Linked DNA regions of Caenorhabditis elegans. The protein of the gene in region 2 interacts with the protein of the main gene of each other region in a pairwise test. Each region holds a gene or a part of one and is shown on either strand. Other genes may lie near its edges.

Region 1 (5,210 bases), on a different chromosome or scaffold from region 2:
AGTGTTAGGTGATGATACATTGAGAACCAGATAATCACAATGTGGAGCAAAGTAGTTGACACCAATTTCATAATCCAATCTACAAGAACTGAAATTTAAACGTTTTTGCCTTTTTAACTGACTTTGCGTCTTCCGTAAGTTTATTCTTTCCCAAATTGACTCCAAAATATGCATAACTCTCTGGAACCCATGAATCTCTGGCACTTCGTACTCTTTGATGAACTCTTCCAACTCCATCACTATTAAATCCATATCGATTGATAACTCCTTCATCTTCCAATAACCTAAACACGCGTGGTCTATTATTTCCTGGTTGTGGTATTGGTGTTACAGATCCAATTTCAATGAGTCCAAATCCAGAATTCTTGGCCAATTGTGTAATTGCTTGTCCATCTTTATCAAATCCAGCAGCTAACCCGATAGGATTCTTGAATTCTCGTCCAAAAAGCTCACATTTCAGTTCAGGATATTCTTTTCGATTCCATCCGAAACGTGGCAAAAGTCCCCACGAAGCAGCTCGAACCGCCCATCGATGTGAATCTTCTCCATCGACAAATTTGTGTACCATTGGCATTACTGCCTTTTTGTAGAACGTTTCCGAACCATATAGAAGTTCAAGTGCTGTGTAACTGGCAATTCCTGTCGCGAGTACAATTACTGTCGACTTGCTTATTGCACCAGGTGGAAGTTTGGAGTAGATGTATTTTTGTTCGGCATTTTGACTCATTCTTCAGTAGAAATTCAGGATGATTTATTCAAATCAGCAACAAATTTCTCCAGCTGAAAAAAAAAAATTAAAATGATCAATGTGGCTGAGTTTTCTTTTGGAAGTTTTCACTTTTATAAGTAGAAATACAGGTAAAGTATCTTAAAGTTAAAAAAAAAACTTGCCTGCTCTGAAGTGAAATCCAAAACTTGTGTCTCGCCGTCTTCGTAATGGAGTACAAGTTGAAAGAATGGTTGAAAGAGACTGGGAGAAGAGTCGCAGCTAGCAGACGCCTAAATTATTTGGAAATTTGAATTGATAAGCTCGATAACTAATGGTTGAAGGTTATCTTAGATAACAGGGGAATCTAGTACAAAGTATAATAAACTATTTAAATCAAAATGAAATGTTAAAGAGTAGTGTCGTTTTATTTTAAATTACTTTGAAAAAGTTAAGTTGGGAAATGAAAGATTGGCAGAATCTACATTTTTATGAAAGTTTAGGGCAAAAAAATGGCATGAGAACATCTGAAATGTTTGCAGCATGGTGTCTTGGCGGTGGTTGATGATGATAAAAGTGACAAAAAAGATAAGATGCGATGATGAAGTGTCGAGAGAAGAAATGAATGAAAATCGACGCGATAGATCAGAAATCACATTTTGCTTAAACTGCCGAATTTGTTTTTGAACAAATACAACGTTTTTGAAATGAATATTTTCTTTTTTATTCAGTTTATGTCACCTCAATTTTCATTTTGTGCAACTTTTACACGAAAACTTTTTTTTAAAACTTACTCGAATACTGTAGTCGTATGATTTAAGTTTCTTCTTGATAGTTTGATGGTTTTCCGCTCCTAATGACATACAATCTGAAACTTTAAGAATTTAAAATAAGAAATACTATTTAGTTTGAAGATAAAGAAACAAGTGATTTTTAGACATGAGAACAATTTTAATTTCAAGAGGTTTTTCTTTTTTATTGGAAAAATTAATAATTATACAGTTTTTGCGTATATACTTACAACAAATATTATACAGCTATGGAAACAGATTTTTAGCAAATGAAAACACTTGAAAACACAAGATTTATGTCCAATTTTGAACTAAAACGCTGAAATTTAATTCTAAAATCTTTCGAAACACATTTTTTAATTGAATTTTAAGAGAAAATATTTAGAAAATTGGAGAAAAAACATTATATTTCAATAAAAACTGAAGAAAATAAAGAGAAAAATGAACTGAATTGTGGGCGTGGCCAATTTGCAACATAGTGCGCAGTTTCTTCTTGATTTTTTTTTCGCAGTCGTTATTTTGTTTTCCTCTTCCTTTTATATTCAATAACTATTATTATAATTATCCGGTTATCCATCTGTCTTTAATTTATTTTTTTCAGAATATAAATATGCAAAAGTCAGATGAAGTCACTGAAAAGTTCAAACGATATTGTAATCAACTGGAAAAATACGGCCAAACTGAAAATGTGCATTCTCCAGTGATGGCGATGTTGCGCAGAAAGTATGTTTTATTCTGTAACAAAAACTTAAAATACAACAGCTTGAGTCAGAAACTATGAAATTAATAAACGATCTTTAAGTTTAAAATTTAAAGAATTACAATTTTCAGAGGCCGAAAACAGCTCATTGAGATTATGAAACGCGACGGGGACTGTACAAGTTCAATCAATAAATTGTGGATTGTTGGATATTATCACCCTTTCCAGTTTTTTATTCGAGTAAGATTAACTTTTAGTCATTGTATTATTTTTATTTGATTTCCAAAGGTTCTTATTACAGGATAAGGAGAAAAACATGGCAATAGCCGTGTTGCTGACAATGTTCTGTGGAGAGCTTCAAGAAATGCTTTCGCTTCCCGATGACAAATACCCAGCATTGTGGAACATGTACATTGGAGATTTTCATCGTTATATGCCAGACGAAGAAATTCAGAAATGCTTGGCAGTTGGATATTATTCAAGAGCAATCGATCTAGATCCGAATCAAGGAAGAGCTTTCCACGTTCTCGCTGGTCTCCGAGCTGACCTGAATGTTGCACAGAAGCTGAGACTGATGATTTTAGGACAGCTCGCCGATGCTCCATATAAAAAAGGCACTGAACTCTTGGAATATTTGAAATTTCCACAAAAAGAATCCACTGATAAATTGATGGTAGATTTTGTCATTTGGGCATTGAACGAGAAATCAAAACGAATGGATTATCAGATGACTGGAATCAAAATAGTAAACGAGTTTAAAGCAGAAATCGAACAGAAACTCGAATTCGATTGGTCTCTGATCATGTCAACGTGTCGTTTAGCATCTAAATTGGCAATGAAGAAATTTGGATGTAAGTACCGATTCCAATATCTATAGAAAATTCTTATTCTGCTGTAGGATAACATAATTTTTTCAGTTCAACAATTCTACAATTGCTTCGACACAATTTCAACGCTGTATATTACAATTTATTCACGTACGATTTCATCCAAATGCCTTCTAGCTGAAGCTATCTCATGGATTTCCGATTCAGCCGAAATACTCGGACACTTGGATGAGCAGAAAAATGAGCCACATTTCCAGAAGCTATCGGTTTTCGCCAAAACGGTAAGATTTAGAGATAAGAAAATGTAGAATAGATGTTTCAATTTTAAAATCAAGGGGAATTAATTATAAATATAACTTATTTTCAGAAATGGAACGAGCTCAACGACTTGGTTATGAATCATATCAATTCCGTATTCACATCCATGTCACTCACAATCAATCCATCTATTTCTATGACCAGCTTTCTGCTGAATGGTCCAATATCCGAACCCAATGTTGAATTTTTGAGTCAATTAATCAATTATCTGGTTTCCGTCGAATTCCCACCAATGGAGATAATCCACGATAGAGAAGAATCGGGTCCATTGCTACGACGAATTAATCAATCGGAACAAAAACGTTTGGATATTCAAATAAAGACACAAAATGATGAAGTTAACCGGGAGGATTGGAGACCTGTTTATGTATTGATGGATTATGACGTCATAGTTGACAAAATAAGAATTGCTCTAAAAATTTGGGATATCGATGATTTCATCTGCATTTTGCCATCAACAGTGCTTGATGAACTTGATTATCAGAAAACGAAGAATCGAGCAGTTCGTCCAGTAATTCGGGCATTAATGGAGCTTCAAGCAGAGGGAAAAATTGTGCTAAAGAAATGTGATAACGAGAGAAGCTGCGCGGAGCAATTGGTTCAAAGTGCACGAAGATCTGCAGAAGATCACAAGCATATTGTCGCTTTTCTGTGCAAAAACCCGAGTGAACAGAAAGAAATGGAAGGAGTTACTTTTTACGATATCGATCAGTTCTACATGAAGTATTTGGAGTGATGAAAAGAAAGGGCTCTACACTGAAAAATCTCACGATGGCTGGAATTGGAACCGCTTAAAATCATTGAGATCATATTCTTCGGATTTATTTTTGATTTATTTTACTGGATTCAATTATTTGACAATTTTTTGGTAATAAAATTTTCTAATTAACTCTTTTCAAATCATTTCACAATAGTATTAAATTAATAGTAGTACTATGTTCCATTTCGTTCAAATTGAAAATTCCAAGAGCACTCCCACGTATCTAAACAATTATGAATTCTTTTGCCACCCCCGTAAACCATTTAGAAAATTGCATTTTCATTTCACAATCATACCTTTTCGATTCCTATCAGCCTACTATAAATTGATTTTCATGAAGTAAGTAACATTTTCAATTTTTATGCTCCGCAAATCGAAGCTACACATTCCCTGACTGTGAGTATTCTAGAGTACTGTAAGTCTACTATTTTGCTAAACGTGCGAAAACTTCCAGATACCGAATTAGTTCCAGAACATTCACCCTCACTAAAAACTCTAAAATCACCTTAATTTGAATGTTCCTCTGTGTCCCGTCAGACAGTGTCTAGGGCCGATTCTCAGTCAGATAAATAGCGCTCTTCTTTTAGAAACAGGGTGAGAGGAGATTGTATCACTCTCATATCGAGGTCATTCAAATGAAAAGAGGTATACTTTTGTTGATTGAAATACATTTGTGTAAAGTTGAGATGTTTCGATTTGAAAACTTGAGAAAAAAATCTGGTTTTGTTTACTAATTGCGGCTTTTACAGTTTACCATTTACTGCTGTATTGTCTCGTCATGCCACTTAGACACCCAATTTTCAATTGAAGTAGAAATTATATTTCCTTCTTTTTCCAAATCTCACTAAGATTATATCAACTACGAAATCGATACAAAATATCTACATACAAACTGTTTTTCTGGTGAATTCTACCTTACTCCACTCATCTTTCCAAATTTTCAGTGAATGTTATCATATTTCTAAAACTAGGTATGGGAAAACTGAAAATGTGCCCTGAAAAGCAGTGGTCCCCCAATATTTTTTTAAATTAATGTTGGTTTTCGCAACGTCATAGTTGTCAAATAAGTCGGTTTCAAAACTTGAACAAACATTTTCGATTGACTCAC
Region 2 (5,330 bases):
GGGTCGAATCTGAAACTATTTCTTGAAAACAACTTTTTTGTCTCATTCATCGAAGATTGGTTGTATTCGGAAGTGAGAGGTTGACAAGTTTTTTAAAATCCATTTTATTAATTATTCCGAAATACACATTTAGTTCCAATAGTTTCGAAATTTAAAACGTTTGAGTCATCCTTCATTTTTTCTGCCTAGTTGCTGTGATCATTTGGAGAGAGTATAAGAATTTATTAATCATTTCGAAAAAAAAAATCATTTTTGAATATCCTGTATCATTCTATTAAACTTGAAGTTATTCGGCCGGTGTTGAACAATTTGCTCCTCATTGGCGATCATTTCGTTATTCTGATTTCTTCGATTATAACGGAAGGAGAGTGGATCTGAATTTACAGTAGATTTTAAATTGGTTTTTCTTGAATTTCCTCACCTAATTTTTGTAGTGGAACAGGCGCTATGTCCACCGGCTCTGCAATATTGTTCAAGCCGATCGAGCGATTTGCGTAGAGATTTATTTCATTAAAGATATAATCATCTGACAAATTATCTGGCACCCCTCGTTTTCTTTTAGAAGTTTCCTCGATAGGTTCGGTTACAATTACATCGGTTTGTTGAGCTGAAATAGGATCCAAATTATCAAATATCCTTCTCTATTCATGTTATAAATCTTGGTTGTAAGAACAGTTAACATAATTAGTAACAATTAGAAACCTGATGTGATTAAGATTCTATCACTGTTTTTAAATAGTAAAATAAATAATTTTGACATACGTATATTGATAACTTCTCCTCTTTGTAACGCCTCAATCAATGCATCCAAATCAAGATCTCCATCACCTTGAGCCTCACGCAGTGCTCTCTCCTTTCGAAGCCTTTCCTTCAGTCGTTTAATCTGTCATTAAGCCACTAGTATACACCTTGGAGAGCCACCACAAACCTGCTCGGCTCGTCGCCGTCTACTTTCCTTATCTATCTCCTCTTCACGCTTGCCGTCTGCCCATTTGTTGAAGCTGAATGTGTTGAACACATTCGCACCGTCTCCCATTGTACTGTTCTGTAAATATATAAACTGAGCTAATGAGAAGAATACGTACTAGAGCACCACGCTTTTGCGAAAAATGAGAACCAAAAGCTCGATTGTGCACTCACTTTTGCATATTTTATTAAAGCTTTTGACGTCCTTTTCTCTTTTGTTCGCCTGTTTGAAATTTTTGAAAACCAGGAAACCATGATGATTTTAAATGTTTAATGATGTTCTTCTAACAGCATGCCCACGCGTTTTGCCTGAAAATTCGAATCAAATTAATTTTCAGCCTTTTTATTGTTTAAATATCAGAAAAAAACTGGCTGTTCACTAATCACGTGATGCCTGTGTTTTCATCCTCCCTTCTACACTGAAAATATTCTATTTTAAGGACATTTTCAGTCATTTTCCGGCGCTGTTCCCTCTGTCGTCGCCACGTCCAGTACACCGAAACCGACGACAAATCGATGAGAGCTCTACGACCGCAGGCGCGATGGATTGTGCTATTGCAGTGAGAGAGAGATGGCCGTTCTCTGCTTCTCTGCGTATCACTGTCGCAGCTGTTTCTCTTCTTCTCCTTTCGCCGCTCTTTTTTTGCATGTTCGTCAGGTTCACTATAGCGATTTCTTAATATCGAAATTTCACGAGTTTCAGAGTTGATTTTCGAAAGATCAGTGAAAATATTGTCCACGTGGTAGAGTTTTTCACTGATTTCTCGAAAATTCCAATAGTTTCTTTAAAAATCACACTCTTCTTCTTTGAACAATTCCATTTCATTGATTTTCTATATTTTCGTACAGAAATAATAATGTTTCAACAAAAATATGTTTTCTAGCACTGAACATTCTTAAATTTGAATTTAATTTTCTTAATATCAGATATTCAAAGATGACTATTCGTAGATTCTGCAAGTTCTTTCAAAATACTCAATTTTTCTATTTTCTCTCCAATTTATTTCTCCAAAAACCACCCGGTAATCAATATTTCAACACATTGCTGTGTTATCTTCACTGCGTCTCCTCTCTCTCTCTTGTTCTCCTCATGCCCGATGATAATCCGTTTCTCTTCCCGTTCTTTCTCCTTTGAATAGCCGCGAGATTAATTTTCATAAAACAAATTTCAGCACTCTTCATCATGTCGGTTGTCGAAGAAGCCACTGACGACGCGCTCTACCCGATTGCCGTGCTCATTGACGAGCTGCGCAACGAAGATGTCACGTTGCGACTGAACAGCATTCGCAAACTCTCCACAATCGCTTTGGCGTTGGGTGTGGAGCGCACACGCAACGAGCTCATCCAATTTTTGACCGACACGATTTACGACGAAGATGAGGTTCTGCTTGTGCTCGCCGAGCAACTCGGAAATTTCACTCCATTGGTCGGTGGTCCAGATCATGTTCATTGTCTTCTCCTTCCACTTGAGAACTTGGCCACAGTCGAGGAGACCGTGGTCCGTGACAAAGCCGTTGAGAGTCTCCGCAAAATCGCCGACAAGCACAGCTCGGCCTCATTGGAGGAGCATTTCGTGCCGATGCTCAGACGTTTGGCCACTGGAGACTGGTTCACATCCCGTACCTCGGCTTGTGGGCTTTTCTCTGTTGTTTATCCACGTGTCAGTCCAGCTATCAAGTCGGAATTGAAGAGGTGAGAATTAAGAAAAGAATAACTAAAGCAATCTAAATTAATTATTTTCAGCATGTTCCGAACCCTGTGCCGTGATGACACCCCAATGGTTCGCCGTGCTGCTGCTGCAAAGCTCGGAGAGTTCGCAAAGGTGTTTGAGAAGACTGCCGTCATCGAGGGTCTCCACTCCAGTCTCACTGATCTTCATGTTGATGAGCAAGATTCTGTTCGTTTGCTCACTGTCGAGTCAGCCATCGCTTTCGGAACTCTCCTCGATAAGGCTAACAAGAAGAAACTCATCGAGCCAATTCTCATTGAATTGTTCGATGACAAGTCGTGGAGAGTTCGTTATATGGTTGCCGAGAAGCTTATCGAGATTCAGAATGTCCTCGGTGAGGATATGGATACCACACATCTCGTTAACATGTACACGAACCTTCTCAAGGATCCAGAGGGTGAGGTTAGATGTGCTGCCACTCAGAGACTTCAGGAATTCGCTCTCAACTTGCCAGAGGACAAGCGTCAGAACATTATCTGCAACTCACTGCTCAACGTTGCCAAGGAATTGGTTACTGATGGGAATCAGCTCGTCAAGTCGGAACTCGCCGGTGTCATCATGGGACTTGCTCCACTGATTGGCAAGGAACAAACTGTCTCTGAGCTTCTCCCAATCTACATGCAGTTGCTTAACGATCAAACCCCAGAAGTTCGCCTCAATATTATTTCCAGTCTTGATAAGGTCAATGAAGTGATCGGAGCAGCTCAATTGTCCACATCCCTCTTGCCAGCCATCGTTGGATTGGCCGAGGATGGAAAATGGAGAGTTCGACTCGCAATTGTTCAATTCATGCCACTTCTTGCTTCCCAGTTGGGACAAGAATTCTTCGATGAGAAGTTGCTTCCGCTTTGTTTGAACTGGCTTACCGACCATGGTAACTTGATTTTTTCTTAAAAATGTTTTTAATTTAATTTTTTCCAGTGTTCTCAATCCGCGAGGCATCGACCCTCATCATGAAGGAACTGACACAGAAGTTTGGAGGACAATGGGCTAGCACGAATATTGTACCAAAAATGCAGAAACTTCAGAAGGACACCAACTACCTGCAGAGAATGACATGCTTGTTCTGTTTGAATACACTCAGTGAGGCGATGACTCAGGAGCAGATTCTGAAGGAGATTATGCCAATTGTGAAAGATGTAGGGAAATTTTACTTTTTTATTTAAAGAAATCGTAATTTTTCTAATTTCAGCTTGTCGAGGATGACGTGCCGAATGTCAGATTCAACGCCGCAAAGAGTTTGAAGCGAATTGGAAAGAACTTGACCCCAAGGTGACAGGAAAATCTTTTTCACTATCCCAATTTTCTATTTTCAGTACATTGACGTCCGAGGTGAAGCCACTGCTCGAGAAGCTCGGAAAAGATTCAGACTTTGACGTTCGATACTTTTCAGAGGAAGCCAAGAACTGTAAGTTTCAGTTGTCTTAAAATTTAGAGTGAATTTGAAATTGAACATTTTCAGCACTCGGCTTGTAATCGAACATATCGCTAGTCAAATTGGAATCTCTACATCTTCCACTTCTCAATCGTCTTATTTTTCCATTTTTGTTCCCGAGCACGCGAATAATCTCTATCTCTCCTCATTCATTTGTAAATGTTTAGCCCTCGAGACAAAACTCTGTATTGTAATAGTTCTAACCACCGTCCCTCCCACAACAAAACAATACAAATTATAATCGTTAAATTATGCGACCTCTCTTTATGATTATTTTCATTTTCCTCCCACTTCTATCCCGTATATTTCACCATCCTACTTCTTTCTGTTCTTTTTCCACCACACACAATCACCACTTTTTCCATTGCGACCCATTCATTCATTTATTTTTTTTGCAGAATAAAAGGTCATCGTCTATTATGAGAAAAAAGGTCTCAGGTTAGGTTAGATCAGTGTGGTTGAAATCTCTGAAAATATTTGGAATAATGGTGTTATCCGGCGTATGCCACGTCGCAGAAGCTTTTGAGCAGAGAATCTCGGTGCTTTTGCAACGTGGATTAAATATTGCTCAAGTTGCAAGCGTTGTGAAACGTCTCATTCAAATAAAAAATTTACTTTTGCCATTTGGAACTTTGAAACCATCTTTTTGGCCGTTTGGCAAATCCAGCTGGCAAAGAGCGGGCATAAATTTATATTAAACGCGCAGTTTCCCGATTGATTGTCTCAGAAACTTCCAGTGCTCAGATTTTGCCACGTGGCTAGAAGTTTTCGTTGCCAAAATTATTTTTTCCAATTAAAAAACTGTTCGCATTTACTTTTCAATTTTTCAATTCAATCGGAGAATTGTTTACGTAGTTTCTCTTTGCAGGTGCTATGCCAAGACGATGATAATTTATTTCCTCCAACTATTCCTGCTGCCGTCCACGACCGCCACGGCAGGCGTATTTGACCTTGCAGAGTACCGACGGGTCTCTTATGACGCGAATATTGGCGAGAATTTTCTTTGGTTCGCCCCGGAATTGGATATTCGAAAAGTTACAGCCAGCAATATTGATGATCTCGAAAAGCGAATTGTTAATCGGATTCCCGATGACTCGACCGAGCAGAATTTGATGTTTGTGACGAGTAAAGGAGGGCAGAAGTTTGCATGTTCTTTGCCAGATGTGGAAGATGTTAAGGTACACATTTTTAGATTAAATA
Region 3 (4,582 bases), on a different chromosome or scaffold from region 2:
TACGAAAAATTTTCAAAAAGCGCTACCCTAAACGAGTTCTTGAAATTTCGAGAATTTAAATGTTAAAAATTGCTTATTATTTAAAAGTATAAATTCTAGTTACGAACAAAATATTATTCAAAACGTTAACTTACTCATTCTGGTATCAAAATAAAAAGATCTTTCTGCTTGGCTTCCACTACATACATTACCACTATCCTTTGGTTGAGTACAATCAAAGCTGAATACAGGAACAAGAAGTACACAGACTAACAGGTGGAATCGCATTTCTGTAGATAAATGGGTTAAATGTTTTTTTTTTTTTAAATTAAATTTTTAAAAGAAAATCCTGATAAAACTGTGGTATCAGTGTTTAGAGAGAAATGGGAAAAATCGCAGAGTTTATAAATGGGGAGAGTACAATGGAACAGTTGAAGTCCAAACATCTGGGTGCTCTCTCGAACTTTTTGAAAATGCCAAAAAACAAATTTGCAAAGATGAACAAGACACACCTAATCTTTTATATTTTCTAATTTTCCACCTACTCTCTATAAATAATCAATGTCAATATTTACTAGATTTTGACAAAAGAAATTCAAAAAATTCGGGTGCAAAAGTCAACAGGAAGAGAAATCAAAAATAGAGAAAGGTAGTGATAGTTCAAAACGCTTGCTTGCATATGGAAAATCAAGTGAAAGTGTATCTTTTCAATTGGAAAGTCTGAAGACAGCAAGTGTTTTAATACAGGAACACATGTGTACATGCCATAACAGTTTGTTTTAAAAGTTATGAACTTGTAGTTTAAAAATTCGTAGAACTTCTCCAATTAACACGTACACTACTAGAATTTTCATTTTTATTTCGTACACAAATGAAACTCTTGAAGGAGACCGATGGAAAGGTCAAGTTGGTACTTGTCAAACAATGACAGAAGTGTGAAGTGCTGAAAATCGAATTAAGTTCGAGACTATCTCGATCATATGATCAAATGAGAAAGAATCGATGAAATTCAAAATTTATTCAGGTCACAGCTGGAAGTAATGGTTTTAGTACAATTCACAGACATTACACGTAGTGATTAATGATAATTTTAAAACGTCAAGAGTTAAACACATTTGATATCATTTCCTGCGAGCGTATTTTTCACGAATACGGCGTTCTCGTTCAGCTGGAGTCTCAGGTACCGCTTGCTCGTGATAGTTCTGTCCCCGTTTATTGACTACAACATCCTCTTCATGATCTGATGAATCTTCCACGTAGTATCCAGTTCGATTGTTTCTAGCTGTCGTTTTTCCAGCTGCTTCTGACGGATAATAGCTAATACTTTGACCCTTTTGATAGAGTGAGTGACATGGTTGATCCGGTTCGTAGGTACGGTATGAGTCAGGAGCTAGAAAAGGTTTTTTTGAATAGTGAAGAGACTTCTCATTTTTGACTTTTAATTCAAATTTTTCAACTGATTTGAGGATTTCATCTTAAAATCATTTCGTAGTATAAAGTGTTTTCACTACGAATGGTTATCAACTTTCAAACATTTTTAATGAATTATTTGATACATTTTGGAATGCGTGAATTATTATATTTATACAATTCTAGCGGACGAATTCTGTGTTTGAATATTGAAAAATTAAATTACCACGATTATCACGTCTCTCATTTGTCCACTGTCTAGAATCAATAGAAGCGAGTCCGTTGTCATATCGAATACTTCGTTCTACCGTAAGTGTTTCTCTCATCAAAGCAGGATTCACACCAGATCCGTATCTAACTTCAGACATTGGTGGTGGTGGAGAATATGCAGCTCTGTTAGCATCACATTCAGCCTGAAAACAAACTATTTCTATCGGATTTAAATACACTACTCACGTCTGCTAGAACATTATCAATTTGTTGGCGAAACATTGGGTCCGAGCGAAGGCGTTGCTCAATAATTGTTAATGCTTCTGGAGGTATAACACCGTCTCTTTTGATAACTTCTCGTGCCGAAGCGATCTTAAAACGGAGTACTTTTTGATTTATTTTTTATCTGAATTCTCACTTTACTAGCTGGCTTCTGCTGTCTTGATTGACGAGGACTCTCATGAAAATTTTCTTTGTCTTTTTCAACTGGTTCGATCGCTTGCTGTTTAGGAATCGTTATCTCTGAAAAATTATTATTTATTGAATTTATGGGATAATATATATTCAAACATACTCTGAAAGAAGTTTGACATCAATTCTTGCATTTTAACAAGATTTTGAGCATTGAGCTCTTCTTGTCGCCGGGCCGTTTCTTCTTGAATCTCTGTTCGTATCGTTTGCAGTTCTGTTTTCATAGCGTCCCGCCAGTTTTCAGCTGCCTGTTCTTCAGTCGTTGTCGTATTTTGGGCAGACATTGTTGAAGCAAGCACTTTTTTTGAATTCCGAGATGTTCCCTGAAAGATAATTTAGTGGAATTATGCCATGGAACAATTTTAATTTAATTACCTCGACAGTTTGGGAAACGTTAACTGTTTTTCCAAACGCAACTGTTTTTTGGCGAAGCGCTGGATGCGAAGGTGGCTCTTTTCTTGGTTTCGGAGCCGAAAGACACGATTTTTTCTTGGCTACTTCTACAGCGGCGACAATTGGCTGCGTAGATGGTACTGGGGGTTTTGTCCTTTCTTGTGGAAGCTGAAGAACTTCTTGAAAGGCAGGGACTTCAGAATCTTCGAAGACTCTCGGTTGATCCACAAACTCCTGGACTAAATTGGCAATTTTAACACTTTTATATCGAAAACAACTCACCAGTTGGTTTTTTGAAGTAAATAGAGCAGGGTAAGTCGTCGTAATTATTCATTCCCGCTTAATGCGAGGTCATTTCTGTTAAAACTATGAAATTGGAAAATAAAACGTTTTTTCTTTAAAATTGGCGCGTTGGTGTCGCGGGGGCGTGGCCTCTGCTGCAACCCCCGCGCACATTTTTTGCAAGATGAGCGCGCACATTGTATATTTTCTCACATTTCTTTTCGCATGACCATTCGGGGACGAAAGAAGATTGTAATTAAATTAAATGATATTATTATAAAACAACAGAATTTTCTACTTTCTCATATTATCTGCAATTTAGAAGAATGTTCCTGATCAGTTGAACAAATTTAGATTGACAGATTTTCAAACAAAAAATCTTCTCAACCTACACAATTTTCCAATGTATTAAAAGTATTAAAAAACAAGTAAACACTCCCGACTGGTTTTCTAAAAATTCCGAGAAAATTTTTCCTCTGTACACAGATAGACAGCGAGACACAGAAAAAGTGTCTCAAAATAAATCAGCGTGGTAAAAAAGTCAGTGCGAAGGAGCCAACAGTATATGTACATTATACACACAATGTTTGCTCCGTGGGGTCAGATCAAAACTGGAATTTGGATTTGACTGTTGGTGGTGTTGCACGGTAGCAAGAGCTTACACGATTGCCAGTACAATAGTTTAAAGGGGCGGGAATCTCGATGGCCTATTTAAAAGAAATCCAGAACTCGAGTACAACATTTTCACGTGGCAAAACTAAAATGGCACTTAGATTGGCTGTGGTGAGTTTTAAAATCCTTTTAATTATGAGGTTTGAAACTTAGTTAAATTAAAAACTACTAAATCCAGAAATAGATCTACTTTAGATCTACATACGACTTTCAGTTAATTTAAATGTAATTATTATTTAGATTCTCTCCCTATTGTCTTTCACTGCGGCTCAATCGACTTCTGTTGACTGTTTTGCTGCACGGGACTCTGGAAATACTTGCGCTGAGAACAGTTCTTCTAGAATGTTCTATTATCTTCCAAGACTTGGAACGTGTCAACCATTCATGTATCAGGGATGTGGTGGTAATAGTAACCGGTTCAGTAGTGCACAAGAGTGTAGATCAGCTTGTACCAATGCTCAAGCTCAAAGAGACTCGGAGTCAAGTGATGAAACCGTTCAAATGAAGTGTAAGTGAGGTTAGCTAGTAACTATGGCAATTATTCTAAAAATTTTAAGCTGCTTGCTCTGCTACCTATGACACTGACCACTTGACACCAGTGAGATGCTCAGCAGGAGCTAATACTTGCCCACAGGGTCATAACTGTATTCAATCATTCTGTTGTCCAACATCCAGTAAGCATCAAATGTTTAAATGTTTTATTCTTAAATTTCAAATTCACAGACTATCTTTGCAACTTGACATATGACTCTGGAAAGTTTGCTGTCGGAGGAGAGAAAAGTGACAAATACTTCTGGGTTCCAAAATACACAACTTGCATGCGTTTCTCATTCTATGGAACTCTCGGAAATGCCAACAACTTCCCCAACTACAACTCATGTATGGCAACCTGTGGAAATCAAACAAGAACTTCCCAATAAGACGATATTTGAATTCCTGGAATTATCTGTATTATGAAAAACAAGTTATTTTTAAGAGTTGGCATTTTTGTAGTTTTTTTTCGGGTAATTTTCAAAGTATGATTTAACTGTATTATCATCCACTCATAAACAATTTTTATCTCATTTCTTTTAAATATTTTTTATATAATCTAAAAAATAATTTTGAATGTGATGCAAAAATAATAATTTATATACATTAAGGCAACGTTTTTCCTTTTGGGAAC

Evidence for each region. Proteins that work in one complex are often made in the same cells at the same time.
Region 1: the proteins of paa-1 (region 2) and smg-5 interact in a two-hybrid assay, tested with the Caenorhabditis elegans proteins (one study listed by BioGRID).
Region 3: the proteins of paa-1 (region 2) and sas-5 interact in a two-hybrid assay, tested with the Caenorhabditis elegans proteins (one study listed by BioGRID).

The regions. Positions count from the first base shown.
Region 1 is NC_003279.8:6,733,050-6,738,259, reverse strand, and holds smg-5 (PIN domain-containing protein), read left to right. Parts: upstream 1-2,098; 5' UTR 2,099-2,107; coding exon 2,108-2,220; intron 2,221-2,328; coding exon 2,329-2,437; intron 2,438-2,498; coding exon 2,499-3,048; intron 3,049-3,114; coding exon 3,115-3,305; intron 3,306-3,391; coding exon 3,392-4,078; 3' UTR 4,079-4,231; downstream 4,232-5,210. Other genes in the region: dhod-1 (Dihydroorotate dehydrogenase (quinone), mitochondrial), read right to left, coding at 1-79, 123-727.
Region 2 is NC_003281.10:5,448,592-5,453,921, forward strand, and holds paa-1 (putative serine/threonine-protein phosphatase PP2A regulatory subunit), read left to right. Parts: upstream 1-2,138; 5' UTR 2,139-2,149; coding exon 2,150-2,658; intron 2,659-2,709; coding exon 2,710-3,569; intron 3,570-3,616; coding exon 3,617-3,834; intron 3,835-3,887; coding exon 3,888-3,967; intron 3,968-4,011; coding exon 4,012-4,103; intron 4,104-4,157; coding exon 4,158-4,171; 3' UTR 4,172-4,546; downstream 4,547-5,330. Other genes in the region: F48E8.8 (Hsp20/alpha crystallin family protein), read right to left, coding at 247-374, 422-607, 763-883, 929-1,045, 1,141-1,221; F48E8.4 (MRH domain-containing protein), read left to right, coding at 5,015-5,308. UniProt on the Caenorhabditis elegans protein: Acts as a scaffolding protein for phosphatase let-92 and its regulatory subunits.
Region 3 is NC_003283.11:11,608,994-11,613,575, reverse strand, and holds sas-5 (Spindle assembly abnormal protein 5), read right to left. Parts: upstream 2,840-4,582; 5' UTR 2,798-2,839; coding exon 2,746-2,797; intron 2,703-2,745; coding exon 2,446-2,702; intron 2,394-2,445; coding exon 2,174-2,393; intron 2,122-2,173; coding exon 2,018-2,121; intron 1,972-2,017; coding exon 1,846-1,971; intron 1,803-1,845; coding exon 1,616-1,802; intron 1,370-1,615; coding exon 1,101-1,369; 3' UTR 980-1,100; downstream 1-979. Other genes in the region: tag-290 (BPTI/Kunitz inhibitor domain-containing protein), read right to left, coding at 135-267; piit-1 (BPTI/Kunitz inhibitor domain-containing protein), read left to right, coding at 3,508-3,528, 3,658-3,925, 3,975-4,091, 4,141-4,337.